Linked DNA regions of Caenorhabditis elegans. The protein of the gene in region 1 interacts with the protein of each later gene in a pairwise test. Each region holds a gene or a part of one and is shown in the gene's direction. Other genes may lie near its edges.

Region 1 (5,992 bases):
GACATTTTGTTTAAACTTTGACTTTTCCATCCAATTTACTCAGTTTCATTTTGTCACTCATTGGACTCTTCCTCCTTCTGCTTTCTGCGCAACAAGATTAATTGAATGTACATATGTTTTTGTCACCTTCCTCCTCTTCCTCCTTCTGTCCTTCTTGATGAATCCGAGTATATGTTCCCTCTTTTCCTTTCTTTTTTCTATTTGAATACAGCACAACGTGATGGCGCAACCATCATCCAATCATCCGATTAATCTTATCCCTCCGATGGTTAATTTGAATATGGATTTCGATTTGGAGTATCAGTTCCATATTCAAGGATCTATTCAGAAAAAACTAGGTCAGCACCTACCAGCGTTTATATTTAATATTTTCTCAAGTATATTTACCCATGTTCATTCCTACATGGGCGTAATATTGACAAATCAAAGTTTTTATTTTACTCCCTGAATAACTCTTCATGAATTCTTTTTGAACAATCTTTACTTTTCTTATTTTCTAACTACCACCTGTCCATCTTTTCTTTGTCCTTTGATGAGTTGTGTCACTTTACAATCGACACCTGCCAAGGCCAATAGCTCAAAAGAAGCAGTATTCTTCCAAAAACAGGACCTCCAATTCAATCTCATTATGCCTCATAAACATTTCAATTTCCTTTTACGAAAAACTTTTTTATCTCGTTTCCAAACCGTTTCGCTCTATAGTTGTCCGGTCACGCGGACACTGATTTGGCACTGAGAATGTAAATGGATTTGTGTCAGTGACGGGTTTTTGTAAAATCTATACCGGATTGGTATCGTTTTGTGAATGTACCCTTTGAAACCAAGATGTCATTTTTAAACATGGCCAACATCTTGCAAATTTTCTATAAGAAGCTCCTTTTGAATTTCAATATTATCACACTCTATAATATATTAATGTAACCAATATATCTCTAACTCTTGAGCACCGGAAATTCAAATACATTGCACTTCCAGAAAGGCTTCCTAATATCGTCATTTGGTAGCCTTTTTTTCCAAAATAGAATAATGTGAACATGATCACTTCCGCACCTTTTCATATAAAATTGCACAACTTTTAAAATTGAAGACCCCATTTGAAATAAGTTTCCAATAATACTAGCAAAATTGGAACTTTCATGGTAGGCAAAATCGTCTTCAGTGAGTGCCTGCCTCATGCCTACCGACGCTTATTTCCTGCACGGTTATTAGGACAGTAGGCACATATATGAGATATGAGACAGGGAGTCGGTTTTAGTTTTTAAGTTGATGGGGTCAGCTTGTTTTTTTTATTTATTCGAAAGTTTTATTCTAATTGTAAATTGAATAGTTTTCATATTCAAAGTGTATAGATTTTAATCCATTTATGAATCATTAAAAAAATTGTTGCATATTTTTGCAAGTTTTTCATTCTAAAATCATGCTTCAACATTTTGCATCGTTCTTCATTGCGTAACCCAGACGAAGCCCCAAAAAACTCCTTTTTTCTTCTGGGATTATTCACTGTCACCTTCTTAAAAACGGCGCCTTCGATTATTTCCAGCTTATCCGATTTCACTTCTCATAAGTACTTCTACCTTCAGTTTCTTCATTTTTTTTGTTTTTTGAATCCCTTCAGACTTTTCCCTAGTGTTTTTTCATATTGATTCTGTACATCAACTCGTCTCTAATCGAATCAGGCGGATAGATCAAGGAATGTGGGCATGAGGGAGAATAGTATGCCAAAAATTAATTGAAACTCTCAATGTTCCGCCCACTTTTTGTTTAATGGAAGAAGTATCGCCAAAGTTAAAATCGAAAAAAAGTGTTTCAAGGTGAATAATGTCGTGGAAGCAACATTTGGGTTTTCGAAACGCTAGTTTGTACAACTATTGGTTAGAAAATCCAGAAACTTCAATTTCACTTTAAACGACAATATTTAATTTTTCTTCAGAGCTAGATCCATTGAAAGGACAGACAGCTGCAATATTAACGACGATAATAAATAAACAATAAAAATTGAGTTGCCCACGACAATTGTAGAAAATCGAAAAAATTAGGCTCTTGAAAATACGTCTGACTGTTTTCTTCCCATACCAAAACTTTTGAAATTATTTTTTGACAAAAAACCAGATTTTAGACAAATTCAGACAATGTTTTTTGTTTTTTTAAGTAAATTTCTTTGTTGGATTCAATGCAAAAATTTCAATACAATTTTCAATGCAAAAACTCAAAAAAGTTTTCACTGTTAGACTTTTAAAGGCAACCTTAAAAGTGACAAACTCAAGAAAAATCAATGTTATGCTCGGCCCAAATTATGTTTTTTTGGGTTTTTTGTTGGTTTTTTCTTGCACTTCTCGTAATTTTCTACTACAGGTACTTTACAAAAAAGTTTAGGACTAAAAATCCCACACTTTACAGGCCACATTCAGAAAAATGAATCTTTAGTCCATGTTCCATCTGATAGTATTTCCGACAACTTTCTCGAGACCTATCATCTTTTTTGTATTTCAAATGATCCTCCAAGATTCAATTGCTAACTTCCGGTCCATTACAGTTGTACAACTTTTTGATAAACATTTCATCTTTTTTGGCAACTAATTTGATGATAGTATTGTACTTGTATTTTACTCGTCTTACGTGTCTGATAACACCAATCAAATCTAAATAGCAATCTCCGACCGTAGGAACCAGTTGATTGACTCTTGCCTCGGAACTATCATTTTTCTTTCTTCTTCCGCTACCATTATATGTAATGATATCCTTATATTATCCATAATATATTCCTCATTTCCTCATTAGTGATCCAATTGAATGCGAACGCAAGTCGGTGAATAAAGAAAGAACAAATAAAACAAATATATTAATGATTTTCTCTTTATCCACATTCCCGGACACCGCGTGCCAAATCACTGATAATATCTCCATTTTCCTCTCTCCAGGCTACGGCTTGATCAAATACTTTTCTTCGTTTGAAAACGGTCATTCACACTCACTCACACACCCATATCGTTTACCCGTTTTGTGTATTGCCAACTACCGCACCCATATCTTCATACTTTTCCTCTTTTTCGCTTTTCCTGTTCGTATGTACATACCTTTGTACTATTTTCTTATACAAGGCTAACATTATTGAATTATACGGTTTTTTTTGTTTCAGAAAAAATGCTCAAGTACCAAGTGAAATCGTCCACTTTGACGTTGCGGCCTGCCAATCGGGCATCGAGAACGTCTTCGTCAAGTGAGTTTTTTTTGATTAAACTCGAGACCTACTTGAAGTGTTGCACTTATATTTCGTAAAATATGTTCATAATTTCTATTTGATATGAATGAATAATATTTGACTGCGTTTCCAGACGCTTGAACCCTTTTTAAGTGATTAAACTTTTCAGTAATGTAAAATCCTATAGGATCTTAAATGAGAGATTGAATTACCTACAATGACTAATTAATTCCCATGATAATAGATTTTTGGGTATTAAATACTTTTACGTAACACTAAGAAGATTTACAAAACTTTATTAACTTCTACTAGAATCATTTCCAATAGTTTACACAAGAAATTTAAATTTAACATTTTTTCTCGGATGTTTTACGTTTCTACAGTACTCAATGAAATCGATGAGATCAAGTTTACTTTTTCGAACGAAACTCAAACAATTGAGCTTTCAAAATTTGATCTTCCGAAGATCGCTTGCAAACATCAAACCTATTAAATAAAGTTTTAGGTTTGAACTAGATTTTAGTTGATTCTTTTTCAAAAAAATTTTGTTTTCAATTTTAGATTCATCCTCTCCTTGCTCAATTTCTATGCATTCTCTTCTTGATGATACTCTTCTCGGGATTCCAACAACTTCTCGAAGCAATTCACTTCTTTCCCTTAACTCAACTGATAGTAATATTTCGGATTCTTCAGATGTGGTGAGTAAAAAAACATCAGGCACCATTCAAATATATCATTCAATAATTTTGACTATTTTCAGGGAGTCCTAAAAGTTGATACGCGGAGTGTTAAACAATGTACCGATTACAAGACAATCCGAGTTACTAATTCAACAACAGCACGCCAAGTCGTTGAAAAATTTCTGACAACTCTCAAGCTCACTTGCCGAGATATAAACATGTTCGAACTTTGGATGGAGCTCACAACAAGAGCTTCGGGAGCTCCTGTTGTCACACTTCTAAAACTGGATCCTGAATCTCGACCATATGAACTTCAAAGATGCCATCCAATCGGAATGTCTCGTTTCATACTTCTTCAAAGTCCAACAGGATATCTCGTCAGAGTTCATGATCATAATATTTCTCCTCAATCTAACTACAAGTCATTGCTCCTTTCATCTCAAACAACAGTTCTTGAAGCTATTCATATTGTTCTCGGCTTAAATCGAAAATATGATGATATCTCAAAGTATGGACTATTCTTAGCAACACCTGGAGGAGATGCTCAAATTCCAGAAGATGTTTCATTAGTTTCTATTGCAAGACTTTGTCAACCGAATCAAAAAATCATTATCAGAAATGTTGATGTATTCTAATTTTTGCATGTACTCTGAACATTGGTACATATGTATTATATTTAATGCTTTAAATTCGTGGTATCTTATAAACATTTTTTAAATAACTCTTTGTCTCTTAATGAAAATCGTCGTTCAAAAAAAAGTTCCCTTCGAATTTTATAATCTACTAAAAAAAGGTAAAGGTTATTTGAACGCGATAGTGGTATACATTTCTCAAAAAGTGGCGAAAAATCAGTATTTTTTGTTTTAAATCTCTCATCAACTCAAATAAAATTTTATTAAACCGAGCAATGAAATATCAAAAGATATTATTGTTTTCTCATCCTGGCATTCTGGCATTTCGGAAAACATGCTCAAGAAAACATACATTGTCTTTAATCTAGTAGATCAGCAGTAGGTGCCTCGTATAACCAATTTATTTATTCTTAGAAAACTTGGATTCTTGAACCTTAAACTAATTTTATTGGCGTTACACCAAAAACTAATAAGTGATATGCTGTAGCTACAAACCCCAAGTAAAACATACATATTATTTCTGATTTTTGTTTTGTAAGATTAAGTTCCTTTTCGTTGTGATGAATTCATTCCAATATTTGATAGACTGTTATAGAATCAGATGTCTGGAAATATATGTAATTAAATTTCCAATTTCCTGTTGGTCGTATGATTTGATTTTTAACAACAAATTTACCTAGACGTTAGAAAAAGTTCAGATATTTATTTTTCTACGAAAGCTGAAAGTTAGCTATTACGTATTTAGTAAGATATATAAATTTCTGTTTAAAATATGGTTTCACATTGTTTTGAAATAGGTATGAATATTTAAACTAATTTTTTTATCAATTTTTTTAAACATCGGTTTTTTTTTTTAATTTTTGAACTTGTCGTTTACCGTTCGGGCAATTTGAGACTTTTATACCGATTTTCCAATAGCGAACCCATTTTCTTTTTAAAAACTGTTTCACAACTTTGGCAAGTTCAATTTTAAATGTTGTTCAAAAAATGGCAAACCCCCGATAAAAAACTGCGGAACACATGTAAATTGGACCATGACTACTACATCTTAATAATCTTGTTCTAGAAGTTAGAATTTGAAGAAAAAAGTGAATTTTAAAATTTGAGTTAGTACAGCCATGTGAATCTAATTGATGTTTCATCATCAATTCAACATTTATGTTTTTTTTTAATACAGTAGACCTTTCTGTTTTCTAACTGCTAATTTTTTTTTCGTCTGTTCCAATTTGGACGATCGCCCTTCAAATATTTACTTTTTTTTCCATTTTAATTGATCACACCAACTTTTCAGCTAAATCCAATCGCCATGACTATTATTGATGACATATTTTTCACAGTGGAGTCAACGGCAAGTTTAAGAATTGTCGCAGCCATTCTGCTTACCGTGGTACAAATTTCAGTTTCAGCAATTTATTCAGAAAAAAGTTTCAGACAAGTATAACGGGAACAATTTTCAATATTATTGTGCTATTCGCAATAAT
Region 2 (8,698 bases), on another chromosome or scaffold:
CTCACCACAGGCAGGCATAGATATAGGTTTAGGTATAGGTATAGGTATAGGTATAGGTATAGGTATAGGTATAGGTGTAGGTATAGGTATAGGTATAGGTATAGGTATAGGTATAGGTATAGGTATAGGTATAGGTATAGGTATAGGTATAGGTATAGGTATAGGTATAGGTATAGGTATAGGTATAGGTATAGGCATAGGTATAGGTGTATGTATATGTCACTCACTTGCGCGAGAGTTCAACGACCGTTTCTTTGATTTTCGCAAAATTGAAAAATCATAATTAGTTTAGAAATTTTTTTTAATTTTCAACAGCTTATTGCAGTATATTTCCTGTCATTTAGAGCAAAAAAATAGGCGAAATTCAAAAAAAAAATCATAAAAACATAGAAAATTGCATTACAGAAATTCGAGAATTTTTTTTTCAAAATTCGTCACTTTGTTTCACAATTCTAGTTTTATTATTCCCATGATTGACACCTCATCCTCGACAGAAAAAAATATATATACATTTGAAAATAATTGTAGTGTGACTATTTTGAATTTTCACTTCATGGCAACAACAGTAATTACTCACGGGGAACACATGTCAGATCCTTTTTTTTGCTTCTCTGCGTCTCTTTCTCTCTAGAAGCTTCCTGTTCTTTTTTTTTGTGATCTGCTGGATTTTTTCTTTTATTTCTCTGAAAAATTTTGCAATTCTTTATAGGTTGTTGGCAAATTTTTTACTTGAGTTGTAGATTTTTGAACTCTGATTTTGGCATTTTTTTAATAAATAAATTAAAGTTCTTTAGTTTTAAATTTATTTATATTTTTTTTATTTGTGTCTGAGAATTTTGAACTATAAGAAAAAATTTAAGGAATTTAAAATAATTCCAATAATAAATTTTTTTACTTTCGACTTTTTCTGTATTATTTCAAAATAATTTTTTTTACTCTGAAATATATATTGAAAAATCTACAGTATTTAGAAACAAAAATTACGCAAAAATCAAAAAATAAAAAATTTTCCGAAATTCAAAAAAAAAATTTAAAAATCAATTTTTTTCTAATTTTTAAAATTTAATCCTCTATTTTATAGAACTTAAAATAATCGATGTGATAACAAATTCATTGTTTGAAGTTTTTTTTTCCAAAATAAAAAAATCACAAAAGTTTTTACAAAATTTAATTCTTAAAATCCAGGAAAAGAGGGTTTTTTTCTTTTTTTTTCAGTTTCAGAATTTCATCTCACCATCTATTCCTCTCATCCTCCAACTCCCCACAAAACTAGGGCGGAGCTTCATCCATTTTGACCGTCTGCGTCCCTTCGAAACCCCGCCCCTTTTCCCTCGGGCATGTGTTTGCCCCCACCGACTTTTCGGCTTTTTCTCCCTGACTTTTCTCCTCGAAAAAAAATTTCAAAAAAATTTTTTTGGAACAAAAACCGTTTTTTTTTTCTTTTTCCCTCTGCGCCTCTTGATCTCTTATCAGCTGATGAAAAATGAAAGAAATGATAAGAAATAAAAAGGTTTTTTTTTGCAGTTCGTCGGTCGTCTCTTCAACTTCTTCAAAGTTTTGTCCCAAATTTTTATCTTTGTCCAAAAAAAAACTACCGATGGGCGGCCGGAGCAACTCAGCCACCACAGCCGCCCAACAAAATGCAGTGCTCCGAATCGTTGTCGTCGGCGGTGGAGGTGTCGGGAAATCGGCGTTGACCATACAGTTTATACAGGTTTGTTTTATTTTTTTATATTTTTAAGTTGAAAAAATATTTTTAAAATGTGGAAATGGGGGTAGAAGTGGTAGAAAGGGATAAAAAATAAATCCAACCAGATTTGACAGCCCATAACTTTGTTCATTTTTAAGATAAAAATAAACTTTTAACTACAAAATTATAGAAAATTAAATGAATAATACTGCTCTAGTGAAAATATTTTTGATAACTAATGAAAGAACTGAGATATCAATTGTCAAAGTTGAGCAAGCTCGGTGTAGTAGACAAAATAAACTCAACCAGGTTCGGCACCCATATCTTTGTTAATTTTCAAGATAAAAGTAAATCTTTAGATTCAAAATTATAGAAAATTAAAAAATTAATATTTTGTTAGTTGAAAATTTTTTAATAAAACTTAAGAGAACTGAGATATGGCCTGGCAAACTTAGGGGAAATCTTGAGTTTCAAAAAAAAAATTGTTTTTTTTTTTTTTGAAAAATCGAAAAGCAGAATTGCTTTTTAATAGATTATTTAAAATAGTTTAATTTTAATTAAATTCAAAACTTTTTTTAAAGGGTCTTTGATTGGAAAATCTAAATTTTAAAAAAAAGTCTAAAAACTAATTTTAAAAAGTTAAAATTAAAAAAAAAATTTTTGAATTTTTGGAAGTTGTCTAGAACTTCAAGTATTATATTTTAGGTATTTTCCAAAACTTTGTAAATTAAAATTTTTACTTTTTTTTTGATGGAGTTTGAATTTATGGGCATTTTTCATTTCTATACTTAATCAATTTGCGCATAATTTTTTTTTCAAATTTCCCGGGATCCTCCTCCAAAAAATGTTGTTCCCATAATTTATGTTAACATTTATTGTGGTTTTGTTAGTGTGATGACCTTCACGTCTTCTTGTCTCTGAATCCAATTCACGATTCAATTCGACCACACACATACACACGGCCCCAAACATACATACATACAGAGAGAGATACAAAAGAAATAGGGGGTACAAACAAAAGATGATTAGGGGGTCTCTTTAGGCTGACAGAGAAAAGGTGTGTGCGCGAATGGCAGCAGCAGCAGCCAGGCGGTAACATGATAATGAGTTAGGTAGGTTAAGAAGTGACATTGATTTTTATAGGTTTACAGACAACTGGGTGGCATTAGGGGTACTGTAGGGGGTACTGTAGGGGTACTGTAGAGGTACTGTAGGGGTACTGTAGAGGTACTGTAGTGGTAGATATTTTTTTATAATTTTTAGAGCACCAAAATTACTGAATTCTTAGCACACGTCAGATTTTTCGTATAAAATTCGAAATAATTCAATTTTATGTTATTTCACTAGAATTTCTGGAACAAAAAAGAATAATTTCGGTCAAAGTTTTTGTTCAATTTGTGGCTTGTGCAGCAAATTCGGCAAATTTTCCGCACACCCACGCTTTCAACGTTCTTTGATAAACGAGCAATTAGTGTTGTCAATTTACAAGCCCCTAGTTTTATGGTTCATGGGCTCTGCGATATGGTGCATCGAGTTATTGGGTAATATGTTCTACTTTGATCCTCTAATGTTTTCCTGCGTCTCTCACTATCTCCCCAATAACACGTTCACCGCTTTCCTCAATAAAATCACAAAGAACACTGCATATTGCAACAGATCAGGAGAGAGGAGAAAAAAATTTCGTTCCGCATAAAAGGGAATACGAAAAAAATTTGTACGAAATGCAGTCATGACTTCACGGAAGGAGTAAGAGAGTGAAACTACCTGAGTCATTGAAAACGGCGAACAATTTTTTTTTGGGGATCTTACTTTTTCTATTTTTAGGCCTGTAATGATCATTCCACACCTTTAAATTTAGACGGAAAAAAGTGTGCTCTCAAATTACACGTTGTCCTATCTCGCCCTATAGTTCTTCTTTCTCTTCCCATCTCGCGACCTTTTGTAAGCTTTTGCCTCTTCGTCGCTCCGTTTTCTTCCCGAAAATAATCCTTTTTCAATGTTTGTACGAGGGTGAGCGCAAAGGCGTGAGTCTCATGTGAGTGTCTTGTCGTTCTTGTCGAAAAAAGGAGGGGAAAAAACTTTTGGGAGAGAGAGAGATGGAAAACACAGTACTACTTTTGTGTTTGTGTGTGTGTCCCCTTTTTCACACATGTGTATATACTAGTACCGTTTTCTCGAGCACACACACAGAGTCGAGAGGGAGGGGAGCAGCTCTTGAAGTTTGGTGGGAACGGCTCGGGAAATGGGATATTGGGACTTGAAAATTCGAAATCAGCGGCTTTAGAAACCTCAATGGGGGTCGAACCTGGGACCTTCTGCTTGGAAACCAGCAGGCTTACCGACTGAGCTAGGCGTCGTGGCTCAGTCGGTAAGCGGTTGGGCTATGAAGCAAAAGGTCCCGGGTTCGGATCCCCGGAAGCTTTTAGTTTCAATGCTTTGGAAGATTCAATGCCCTTTGTTTCAGAGGTACTTTGTGCAGGACTACGACCCGACGATCGAAGACTCCTACACCAAACAATGTTTCGTCGACGAGGATCTTTGCAAACTGGAAAGTAAGTTCTTTCTGAGTTTTCTTTTCAGGACCTAATTTTGTTTAAAATTTTCAGTCCTTGACACTGCTGGACAGGAGGAGTTTTCCACGATGCGAGAGCAGTATTTGCGAACGGGGAGCGGTTTTTTAATTGTGTTTGCAGTTACTGACAGGAATAGGTGAGTTTTTTTTTGGGTGAAAAAATTGTAGAAAAATTTTTAATGCGAGAATGAAATGCTAAATATTTTCTTAATTGCCAAAATTTTCATAATTTTGTCCTCCGACCTGGCCTCCTTGCTCCAATGTTTGAGGATGCTCTTCGCGCGCACGGCGTTCGCGCTCCGATAAACTCCCGTTCAATCTCTGCGTCTCTGGGTCTCCACGAATCCCGTACTATCTCACAAGTGACATCTAAATCCTAAGTTCATAGCATCTATTTGGCCAAAAGAAAGAAGACATGCCGCGCAGGCAAAGGAGGCAGCAAACATTCCCTCAATAATGATGACATTTTTCGAAAAACATACATGCGAAAAGCATGAGGTTGGGGGATGGAGAATGAGGCCTTAGGCTGCTTTTAAGGCGGCCTACGCCTGCCACATATAAGACCGGCAGGTAGGTAGACGGGTACGTAAGTAGGCAGGCATATAAGTAGATAGGCGCACACAAATTAGGCAGCTTAGGCAGGCAGGCGGGTAGGTAGATAGGCAGGCAAACAGGCATGTAGGTAGATAGGCAGGCAGACTCGTAGGCATGCAGGAAGATCGGTAAGCACGTTAGTTGGTAGGTACGTAGGTAGGTAGCCAATTTTGTAAGCAGGCTTGGGCCAAGCAGGAAAGTAGGCATGTAGGAAGTCCTCTAGGCACGTTGGTAGGCAGTTATGTAGTCTGGCAGGCACTTAGGTAGGTAGGCACGCTATAGCCTTCCCCAATGGTTCCTTTGTGTGCCAAAAATCATGCTTTTGAAACATTGAAGCCATATGATTAATGGTCCCATACATTTCTCAAAAAGCAGCGGGAGAGAGCATCCGGGTGTAGGGGTCACGGGGCAGTTCATCATTCCACTGTTTCCTATTGGAATTCAAATTTTATGCGCCTTTAAATTTCGGCTGGACCCCGTTGCGCCTTCGGGAACTTTTGTGTACTCGTCATTCACCATCAACACCACCACCACAAAAAACAGGCGCCCCCCGAAATAAAATATTATGTTTACGCTGTTGGCGTGCCGGCACGACGGCTTCTGCTCCCTACCCGCAACACATCTTCTTTTTTCAGTTGTTGACACTTAGATCTCAAGAACCCAGAATATATTGGTCTAAAGCTATGAACGAGCGGGATATGGGTGAAGGGAACAAATTAGGGAGCGCTCCAATAATTTTTGGAAAAAAAAATCGGTTTTTGGCAAGTTCTGTAGCAGATGACATCCCGCGGGCTAACAAAGTTCTGCCAAAGTTTTGCAGTACCTGCGAGGTGTCGGCTGCGATATATTTATTTAAAAAAAAAACAGTAAAAATGGCATAACCATTTTCTTCATTAAACTCCGAAAGTTAGCACCGGACATCTCGCGCTCCCCCTCCCAATTTTTTGTCTGGACCAGTGAGGTGTCGGCTGCTCTAGCTTTGTACAGCTGCCGACATCTCACAAACCTGTAAGATGTCGGCTGCCCAACAATTCCTCAGAAAAACATCAAAAACGCTACCGCCACCAGTCACCCGTCTTTTAATAAATTTGGTCATAAAACCCCCGCGCGCGGGAACTATATAATTTTGTTCCAAGAGAACAGAACTGACCTTGGAACACTCGAAAAATATACTACTAAAAGCGGAATATCAAATGACTCATTTTATGATAGGTTAATCGGTTTTATGAGCGCCTCTTTCTAGTCATCTGTTTGGGAGAATTTTTTTTTTGAAAAAGTGTTGGGTTAGGGAATATTTCACAGAAATACTTTAAAGGTGCATATCTCTGTAGGTAGTCACGTTATTTGAAATTTGTAAACTGACAAAATATTGCTCATAAAATTTTCTACAATGTTATTTTAAATTTCTCAAATATCTAATTTGTCTGCCAAGATATGGCCGTTTTAAGTCGTGCTACCAAATTTTAGAAAAACTTGTTGAAAAACATTTTAACTCCATAATTTTTCCAGTTTCGAAGAGGTCAAAAAGCTACACGAATTAATATGCCGAATCAAGGATCGAGATGATTTTCCAATTATACTAGTGGGCAATAAAGCAGATTTGGAAAATGAGAGACACGTAAGTTTTGAAAATTTTTTCAAAAAAATTTTCAAAAATTTGCTCAACTTCCCAACAAGATGTTCCAAGTACCCATTAGCTCCGATTTGACCCATACCCAAGGCCATAAAAATCGCAACATTTTTCACTGCCAAACGCGCACGACACTCTTCCTCTCCAGCTTTTTGCTTTTTGCTCGGAGAGCACAAGAAGTTGATTGAGAAAAATGGGGATCGGAGGCAAAAAATCGGCGGAAATAGGGTTTCCGAAAAAAGAAAAGGAGTTATGGGATTCCACCTGACATGTGTACGAAGTAGTATAGAAATTTTTTTTGAAACGAGAGTTTTTACTCCTTTGAAGATTTTTTGAGCCTAAAAACTATACAAAAAAGAAAATTGCGTGCGCGGGGTCGAACCAGCGACCTATTTCTTCACAGCCCACCTTCTTACCGATTGAGCCACGCGCACACCCTAAAACACAGCAATTTGCAGCGCATGGCTCAGTGGGTAAGAAGCTTGACTGGCAAGCAAAAGGTCACAGGTTCGAGCCCTTGAAGTGGCATATATGTTTTTCAACGTGTAAAGTTCAAATTTCAACTACCGAAATCGCTCAAAAAACCTCTACAATTTAGTTTGACCTCAAAACTAGTGCCAACTGTGTCAATATATACTTTTATGTAATTCAACATATATTTTTTATCGAAAACAAATATTGGAGGGTGTCTTTAGAACTTTCAAGAGAGCACTTGAAACATTGAAACATGCACAAAACACTCGAAACATATGTGTGTGTGAGTCTCACGAAAAACGTTTGCAATTCAAAACATCTGTGTCGGATTTCGCATTGAAGGGGTTTTAAAGTTTTAAAATTTTAAAATTTAAGCAGAGTTTTTTGGGCTCGAATCCATGGCTTCGGATTCAGTGGCGAGCCACTTACCGGCTGAGCCATGCGCGCTGCGCTGCATAGCTCAGCCGGTAAGAGGCTTGCCTTTGGAGCAAAAGGTCACGGTTCGACCCCCCAGAATGGCTATTAGGTTTTTTACACTGAATATGTTAAATTTCCCATAAAAAATTATCGAATAAAACCTCGAATTTCAGGTAGCCCGACATGAAGCCGAGGAGCTCGCACACCGACTCTCAATACCATATTTGGAGTGCTCGGCAAAAATTCGAAAAAATGTTGATGAAGCGTTTTTTGATATTGTGAGATTAGTCAGGTAAGAAATTTGAAAAAAATTAATTAAAAATCCCCAACTGGGGCTAGCGGGCTCGAACCCGCGACCCTTTGTCTCAAACCCCATCCTCTTACCGACTGAGCCATGCTCGAGTTTCAGATGAAACTTTTGCGTGCGTGGCTCAGTGGGTAAGAGGTTTGGCTGCTAAGCAGAAGGTCACAGGTTCGAGTTCTCGAGGTCGTTTATAGGTTTATAGGTTTTTCAACGCGCTGAGTTTGAATTTCATACTTAAAATCTCGAAATTTCAGAAAATACCAACATGACGAGCGCATGCCCATCCACCCCCATGACGATCGGAAGCTCGAATCACCGATCAAGCTGAAGAAGAAAAAGAATTGCAGGATTCAATAAACTCCAGAAACTCAATTAATCTATTCCAGTCCGATACGACATTCAACATTGGAAGATACTTCAAAAACCTTCAAAAAATGTGAATAGTCGAACCGGAGAGTCAATCCTTCATGACTTTCATACGATATACTGCACCCTCTTCTGAAAATTTTTAACTTGCTGCCTTTAAACTCCTTCTCTCCACTTCAAAACGGGATTTCTTTGGTTTTCTATTGCTTTTAAAATGTTTTTTTTTCCTCTGATTCTAGCCCCTTCTTGTACAGTTCCAACAAAATATTTATTCCATATCCTACCACCCTACCCGTTGTGCCCGTTATCCCGAGTACAAATCTCTCTCAAATTTCGACCAAAAATCTGATATGCGCTCTACTGATAGCCCTGTGAACCCATTTTCTTTTAGAGTAATAAAAAACGTGAGAATATTTATTTTTGTTCGACGACTGGTTGGGCGATTGCCTTGACGACTTGGACGGCTTCACGGGATGATGGTGAAGCTTGTACGGCCGAGTCTTTGAGCACCTTCTCGCGACTTGCACTTCTCGATCGAGATTTTCCGATCTGAAAATGTTTACTTCAGTTCAAGGACTCGAACCAGTGGCCTTCTGTTTGCAAGTCAAGCTCGTTACCCACTGAGCCATGCCGACAATTTTTTGCGGTGCT

The links. Proteins that work in one complex are often made in the same cells at the same time.
Region 2: the proteins of W05B10.4 (region 1) and ras-1 interact in a two-hybrid assay, tested with the Caenorhabditis elegans proteins (one large-scale study listed by BioGRID).

Annotation. Positions count from the first base shown.
Region 1 is NC_003283.11:12,665,090-12,671,081, forward strand, and holds W05B10.4 (Ras-associating domain-containing protein), read left to right. Parts: upstream 1-3,136; 5' UTR 3,137-3,141; coding exon 3,142-3,217; intron 3,218-3,760; coding exon 3,761-3,897; intron 3,898-3,959; coding exon 3,960-4,514; 3' UTR 4,515-4,600; downstream 4,601-5,992. Other genes in the region: srx-116 (7TM GPCR serpentine receptor class x (Srx) domain-containing protein), read left to right, coding at 5,818-5,898, 5,943-5,992.
Region 2 is NC_003280.10:12,345,050-12,353,747, reverse strand, and holds ras-1 (R-RAS related), read left to right. Parts: upstream 1-1,522; 5' UTR 1,523-1,597; coding exon 1,598-1,714; intron 1,715-4,040; exon of another isoform or gene 4,041-4,112; intron 4,113-4,154; coding exon 4,155-4,242; intron 4,243-4,296; coding exon 4,297-4,399; intron 4,400-6,365; coding exon 6,366-6,474; exon of another isoform or gene 6,475-6,564; intron 6,565-7,366; exon of another isoform or gene 7,367-7,449; intron 7,450-7,550; coding exon 7,551-7,669; intron 7,670-7,797; exon of another isoform or gene 7,798-7,868; intron 7,869-7,935; coding exon 7,936-8,038; 3' UTR 8,039-8,461; downstream 8,462-8,698. Other genes in the region: C44C11.6 (Transcriptional regulator), read right to left, coding at 8,462-8,596.